2 linked regions of the Nothobranchius furzeri genome follow. The protein of the gene in region 2 interacts with the protein of the main gene of each other region in a pairwise test. Links are inferred from orthologs where the notes say so. Each region holds a gene or a part of one and is shown on either strand. Other genes may lie near its edges.

Evidence for each region.
Region 1: the proteins of mipol1 (region 2) and enkd1 interact in binary tests that used the Homo sapiens proteins (3 or more experiments, as listed by UniProt). The two-hybrid records come from large-scale screens. The link is inferred for Nothobranchius furzeri from reciprocal best matches to the Homo sapiens genes MIPOL1 and ENKD1.

The regions. Positions count from the first base shown.
Region 1 is NC_091757.1:55,623,930-55,628,037, forward strand, and holds the start of enkd1 (enkurin domain-containing protein 1), read right to left. Parts: upstream 2,866-4,108; 5' UTR 2,752-2,865; intron 2,189-2,751; coding exon 2,104-2,188; intron 35-2,103; coding exon 1-34. UniProt on the Homo sapiens protein: Microtubule-binding protein which regulates microtubule organization and stability. Promotes the stability of astral microtubules and facilitates the proper orientation of the mitotic spindle.
Region 2 is NC_091758.1:16,368,544-16,372,108, forward strand, and holds part of mipol1 (mirror-image polydactyly gene 1 protein), read left to right. Parts: intron 1-57; coding exon 58-184; intron 185-3,565.

The DNA.
Region 1 (4,108 bases), on a different chromosome or scaffold from region 2:
GGCTTGTCGTGATTTCCCTCTAAGCGACCACGAGCTGAAGAAGGAGAGAGAGAAAAAAATCCAACATGTAATTAATTCTAAATGTATAATAAACTATGTGCAGTACAATTTCCAGTAATGGCGTACTAAATGATGCATATTAAGAATCAGTTATCAAAAAATTAACAACGTTGTTGCAGCATTTCAAAGAAGATGTAAAGGTAGTTGAAGCAACTTTTTTGTTCAAGGTTTCACCACAAGATGGCACTGTGATTTTGTGAATGCCCTAGAAAGTTTATTTAACATGTTTATTTAAAGAGCAAGTCACCTCCTACCAGAGTCTAACTCCACTCCCACTTCATGTTTGAAAAATGCAGCAAATGCTGTTGCCTGGCAGACCGAGAGGGCGGAGCCACTAACAAATACACACACTCACAGGCTCACGACAGCATTGTGACATCATAATGTACCAATTTACATCATAGCATACCTCTTAGCCAACAGCAGTGGCAGATTTAAATTCAAATACAGTGTATAGTTTTTACCTGACGACGGCACAACACTGACAGTTTTAGGCAGAATATTTAAATTTTAACTAAGATGCACTGAAGTGCCAAATGATTGACTACACGTGTCTGCAGCACAATTAGACACTCGTTTATTTAGTTTATCAGCAAAAAAAGTTGATTTGGGGGTGACTTGCTCTTTAAAATATTATTTTTCATGTTTTCAATACATTTTGTAGCATTTACAGGTGCACAGAATTAATCATTTTAGATGTTTGAGTAATTTTGAATTGGTTTATTTGATAAGTTGTGTTTAAGAGCGCTGTGACGTCACTTCCTGTCTCTCGTAGTTTCGGAGATTTTATTGATGAGAACGGACAAATTTGTGCCAATTAAGAACATTTGAGAAGAAAGTTACGTGTTTTCAAGTCTACCGGCTTGTCTACTAGCAGACCAAAGTGGTATGTTTATTATTTATTTATAAACTCCATATGTTAGCAAACTTAAGGCAACTAACTTGTTAATTTGTACATGATTTATGCTTTTTCATTAGTTCTACGGTGTTCATGTGGTGTAAAGTTGAAGATGCAAGACTGCATTAAACATCAGATAGATTATAGATTATCCAGAGTTATCTCTGTAGTTATGCTGCTATAGGCTTAGACTGCTGGAGGACACACTGACCACTTTCCACACTCTACTCTTTCTTCTACAATCTGCTCTTTAACTGTACTATTTCCTGCTATTTCAGCTGTTAACTTTATTTTCTCTCTAAGTGTTTTTCTCCCCAGAAGAAGCTACAACGATGTTCTGCTGAGCTGTGGTGGCCTCATGGAGGGGGCCATCGACTAGCACACTGCTGCTAACCACTTAAACATTCTCTCTCTCCTGATAATAACTTTTTGCTTCCCTTGACGTTGGATGTGCTACTACTAGTTTACCCGTTTAATTATAGATCCACTAGGATAAATACAATAAAGTTTATCTCTCACCAAATAGAATATTTACCAAGAAATCACAATATAACTATAGACACATTACTTTGTCTTTGTCTCTGTGTGTGTGTGTGTGTGTGTGTGTGTGTGTGTGTGTGTGTGTGTGTGTGTGTGTGTGTGCGCGCGTGCCTGCTCTGTCTTCTCCATCCCCAGTGAGTCGTGGAGGATGGCTGCTTATACTGAGCCAGGATCCTCTGGAGGTTTCTTCCCGTTAAAAGGGAGTTTTCCTCTCCACTTTCGCTAAATGCTTGCTTAGTATGAGGATTGCTGTAAAGTCATGGACACTAGTCAGTGACTCGATGCAATTTGCTGGGTTCCTTATGTAGGAAACATTATTTCTGATTGGCTTAATGAACTGACCTGAATTGGAATGTTTATTATGTGAAATGCCTTGAGACGACTCTTGTCGTGATTTGACGCTTTATAAATAAACTTGAATTGAATTGAATTGAATCAGTAAAAGGAACGCTCGTGTCTCTCGAGTTTGTGAACAAGCCAGCATAGAAGAAAAAGAAGACTATTTACAATGCAGATTGAAAACATAAATTCATAATTTGTAAGTAGTAACACTTTTTTAATAAATTAGAATTGGTACAAAAAACACAAATTTGACAGTTCCTAACCTGACGATGGGCGTCTGTAGAACTGAGGACACAGAGAGGGATCTGGGGGGATTGGCCCAGAAAGTGTTGAAGGTCCTTCACACATCTGAAGAATTAAAGGACACACAAAGGGTACAGTATCACTGGCAGGCATTCAAGTGATGTTTAATATTAAAACAGCTGATTGAATCAATTGTTAGTACACAATGTACTTTATGACAAATAATACCAGCGACACTAATTATCTTGAGCCTACAAGAATAATAATAATTGGGTTTATTATGGCTTTCAAACCAAACATACTTTATGTATCCCGTGTAAAAATCTTTATAGGCCCATATAAGTACTATAAAGCGAATCTCATCCTGACAATAAAAGCGTTGCACAAACAAGAGCTGACGTTTTCAGCTGTCTTAAGCTGCCCGCCAGTTTTCTACAGCTTCAAAATAAACGAAAACATATCAGATACGCGAACAAATGACAAATGGGATTTTTTTCACGTAGTCATGAAAAGCAGGGCACCACCGGTCATAGCTTAACACCAAGAGAGCTAATCAGCACAAGCTGTTGGGGCTAATTTTCGCCTTAACGTTAATGATAAAAACACGAGTCACGGTTTTCTGTGGCTTTTTATAAATAGCCTCAAGAACTAGGTTACTTTTTTTTTACCTTGTAAACCCCTTCGTTGTTTATCTGTGTGGTGTTTTGTTCCCGTACGCCAATGACGCCGACGCATCAACTTGTTGTAGAATTCTTCACCATAGCAACGGAGCACGCGCACACAGACCTAGACCTGATAGAAAAGTAGAGCGCAATGATTTACAAATTAAGCAAACAAAAGACAAACGTATGAACAACTATAAGTATAGACACTGATTACAGAAGTATTAAAATTGTGTTACTGTTAAAAAAAGTGACTGATTTGAAAAGTGACCGCGAGTCCTCTGCTCTGGAGCGGTGCTAGCAGTTATAGTTCTGTGTTAATCCTACTTGAAAACAGCAGTGTTTCCTGAGCATTACCTATCAGGCTGCGTGAAGCCCATGCCAGATGCTAAACAAAACACGCTGCTAATTCATTTTTAGTGATTTATCAAAATACATAAAGTTAGCTGCTTGGTTCTTCATAGTTTTGTGGTGGTATTACGGAGATTTCTTAAGTTGGATTCACCTGTCAAGCAAAAATCAGGGTCTAAATAGATGCAGATATCCCATTTTTTTCTCACATCAATTTAAATGCTATTATAGACAAATAATATATGACACATACTGAGTGTTTGAAAATATTGAAGTTTAAAGCATTAGAAAATGCACCAGAGGACTAAAACAATCAAATGTGTTTTATTTATTTATTTATTTTAGTGATTAACTAGGAATCGTCCTTACTATCATACTATTACTATCGTTTTAAAATGTGTTTCCTGCACAATGGAGTTATAGACACGACGTGTGTAATAAAACTAAACAAAAGTTCAGCAGTCTAAAATGTCACTTGCACAACGGCCCCGCCCTCAGCAGGTCAGACCGCGCATGCTCATTGCGTTTGTCTGCGCTTTCCCCTTCAAACAGCTGCTCCGAACAGAGCTGTGAAAACCCTGCACACTCCGATTTTTAAACAAGGTAAGAAAGGTTGATCACCAGTGGATTTTTATTTTCAAAAAGTTATTATCACACTTGTTCATTTGCGTGGTGTCTAGTTGTTGTAAACAGTCGCTTGGTTGTCATACAGAAAGGAGTGGAAACACCGCAGACGGTGGTTTTAATACTTGTTTAGGCCTGAGTGGGTTAAAATCAGCATACTAAAAAAAACACAACCTTCACAAACTGACGTAAACATGCCTCAACTTTAATGCTTCGCTCCCAAAAACAAAAAGGTGGATTTGTTGTACACTTTTGCACAGAGTGTGTAAGAAAATATGGTGGGTTGCATGTTGCTGGCAGCTTACAAACAACAGAAACCGGATTTGGACGCATCCAGTAGTAAGCACGCTCATTTATTCCTGCGACTGAGCTACGTGATGCCTAAACC
Region 2 (3,565 bases):
CTCGATCCTTTCTTTTTCTTTATGTTTCACCTTCTCCTTTTCTTCTCTTCCTCTCAGTGATGTTGGAGGAGGTGCTGGCAGCTCAAAAGAACAGAGATCAGGCTCTGATGTCACGACTCCTGCTGGCCAATCAGGAGAGAGACGAGGCTTTGCTTCACGCCCGCCAACTGCAGCAAACGGCCCAGTATGATTTTATTCTGTGTTGTTCAGTTTGGTTATAAAGTTAATAGTTGATGGTTTTAGTCAGGTCGTCGTGACACTTTTCTGTTCTCGTATTAAACGTTTATATTTAGCCACAACCTCTGCGTGACCTGAAGATGTTGTGCTCTGTATAGATTTGAGATTTTTAGGGAAAACATGAAAGTGTCACAAGGTTAAATAAACAAGTATCAACTAGCAACCCTATGCTAAAACTGATCAGTCTTTCAAACACATTTCTGGTGAAACTGCAGATGTTTTTAGCTAATTCTGAGACAGTGGACATATTCTGCTAATGTCTCATATTATCCATTTAAATATGATTACAACTCAGGTTCAAGGCGTTTTGGGTGAACTCAAAAAGATGCCACTTGTGACGGGTTCTGGTGGGTCACATGTTGAAATTGAAGAACACTATTATCCCCAAGAGACGTGCAGTTCCTGTGCAGCAAAAACCAACAGGCAGCAGCAACATTTACAGTTTGAGTGGACTTCCTAAACACCTTCCATCCTTAATCATTTAAAAACCCAACAGCCAAGAGGATTAAAGAGAAAGTCACCACCACTTCCCACTGTCTCCCCTACATAGGCTCAGACGTGGTGCTGCGCCACGGCTTAAATTCTAATGCCACACCTATGAGGTGTACACCTAGAGTGCTGTACACAATAGAGTAAAACACACAATTAGCAGGGGTGGACTGGCCTATCTGGCATCCTGGCACTGTCCCGGTGGACTGCTTGCCCAACTTGGGCTGACGCCCCGCCACCCCCCCACCCCGCGCACGCTCTCACCTTCAGTAGAATAGAGGAAACTCTGAGAGCAGAGTGGTGTCCAAGATGAAGTTGGTAAAGTTTCTACCTTCACAATCACTGAAAGCCACTTTTAAAGAAACAGCTTTAAGTGTTGAAAACTGTTTAGTGCTACTTTAAGAAAAACTCTTATTTTCTTTTCTTGAGTGATCAACGGGAACCTCCACAATCCATGATGTAAGCTAGCGTTAGCCTTACATTAGCTAACTGAAAACATTACAGCTATTATCCCTTAGAACAGTTAAAATTATTGTTGGGCAGCCTCGGTGAGCGCCCCCACGTGAAATGTTTTTTTTTAAATTGCCCCCATTCCTTAGCATTGGCCGTTGGCTTCAGCCACTTAGATCACCTCAGGAGGAGAAATGAGGAGTTCTAGTTGTTTTTGTGCTAGTCTGTTTGCACTGTTACATGGACGACTCTCAGCTAGCAACACATCAGATTTCTGCCCAGCGTTTGTCAAACGGGCTATTTTAGAGACATGTCTGTGTTTGTGGCGGCCATCTTTAATCAGGCTGAAAACATTCATCCAGTGATTTCAGTCTGCATTTCATAAAAACCTTCCAGTGGGTCATGTGATATGTAGTCAATGAGCACACACATGCAGGTAAGAACTTTATGTTTGCCGTTCAGCGGTGTGTGTGATGTTTTTGCCTGTAATAAACGACAGCTAGATCCTTTAGGGCCAGTTTAACTGGCGTGTAAATGTTTACTGTTGTTTCAGAAGCCGACTCCATGTGTTTTCCTGTGAGAACATTTATTTTTTTCTTTTTCATTTATTTACATGCAGAACATATTTAGTGTTGTCTGAAGGAGGATCACAACCCAGAACCGTTCTACTCCTCCTGTTCTCCTTCATTATTCACCTTGATAAGAGCTGTGAAATGAGTTCTTGTCCTCTTCAAGCAGCAGCCAAATAGAGCAGAAAATCTAATTAGAGATAATACCCCTCTTCCTACTGCTTCTTCTTCTTCTCCCTCAAAAACACCCACCCCCGCCCCTCCAGGATGAGAGGGTAATTGATATTGGAGGCCACAATCCTTTTTATCAGGGCAGAATATGGAGGAGCATGTTCCATCTGTCAGGACTGCGAGCGCGTGTCGGTTTATGTTGGTGGCTGTCCGTTTGTGTGTGTTTCTGATGCAGGAGGCAGCCTTGTAGACCTCAGATAGTGTGTGTTTCAGTCAGCTCTGTCGCGCGCGCACGCGCGCGCGTGTGTGTGTGTGTGTGTTATTGTGATGGACGAGTTGACCTGCGTAAATGTGTATGTGTGTGTTATAGATGTGTGTTTCTGACTAATGTGTCATTGTTTCTGTTGGTCTGCTGATGAGACCATGCAGGGCTCTGGCTGACAGCTCCATGTTCACTCAGCTTTGCTCCTCATTATTTCAGGATTTACAAACTGATTGGTTCATAAAATTAATCATGTATTCAATTTTCAACAAACCTGAGGATTCCCGGTGCAGTGTTGGAATCAGAACAGAGTTGCTGACTGAAAGCTGGTTCATATAATAACAGATTGTTTTTGATTAGTAACTTCTCGTGTCCGACAGTAATCTTCAGTCAGGAGGTCTGAAGCTCGTCTGAAACAAGAGTTTTCATATTCATCCCATGAAGACTATTTTAACGCATGTAGGGAACTTTTCAGACCTGTCTGAGGTTTTCCAGACAAACCCCACTGGGGACAGACCGCTGAGGCCTCTAGAGGGATTCATATCCTCGGTGGTCTGGGAACACCTTGAGATCCTCCAGGAGCAGCTGGAGAGTGTCTCTAGGGAGAGCAGGGAGGTCTGAGTTTATCTCCTGGATTTGGTACCTCCATGACCCAACCTTGATTAAGCCAAAGTTATTCCTGGCATATTCGCTACGGGGAAAACTCTCCAAGCGGTATGAGGTCACTTTCACTACTAGCTTGGGTTGACCAGTTTTGTCGAGTGATAGGAACACCAAGCTGCTTGGAGATGGCCTTCCAGCCTTTAACTTGACCTCCTCCTGGGACAGCTGTGTTCTCAGCTTTCTGTGGTCCGTGTTCTGTGTGGTACCCACCTTACCAAGCAGCACGGTGACTACCTTTCAGCCATTAAACTGACTGGAGACACCTGAGTAGAATGTGTCCCTCTGGTCACATTAGAAACCATCGTTAAAGTTTCATTAGTTTGTTTACTAAAGTTGTTCTGCTGAAACGGTTGAGCTGATTTCCAGTTAATGTTTAATTATTAATACTTTTGTCAGTCCTTTCTGTAACAGATCAGTACGAACTCTTTTGTCCACATCTGTGTTTAAATAAGGCTGACTGACTGAAATTTTAATTTCATGCTTCAATAATGCTTAAATAATATTATTTGATCCCTAGAACCTTGATTCTGGAGCGGTTCGAGTGTGAAGCAGCTGGGATGAGAATCAGTGTCTCTAAATCCAAGATCATGGACTCGAGTCGGAAAAGGGTAGAATGCCTTCTCCGTGTCAGGGACGAGGTCCTGCCTCAAATGGAGGAGTTTAAGTATCTCGGGGTCTTGGGAAAGATGGATCACAAGATCGACAGGCAAATTGGTGCTATGTC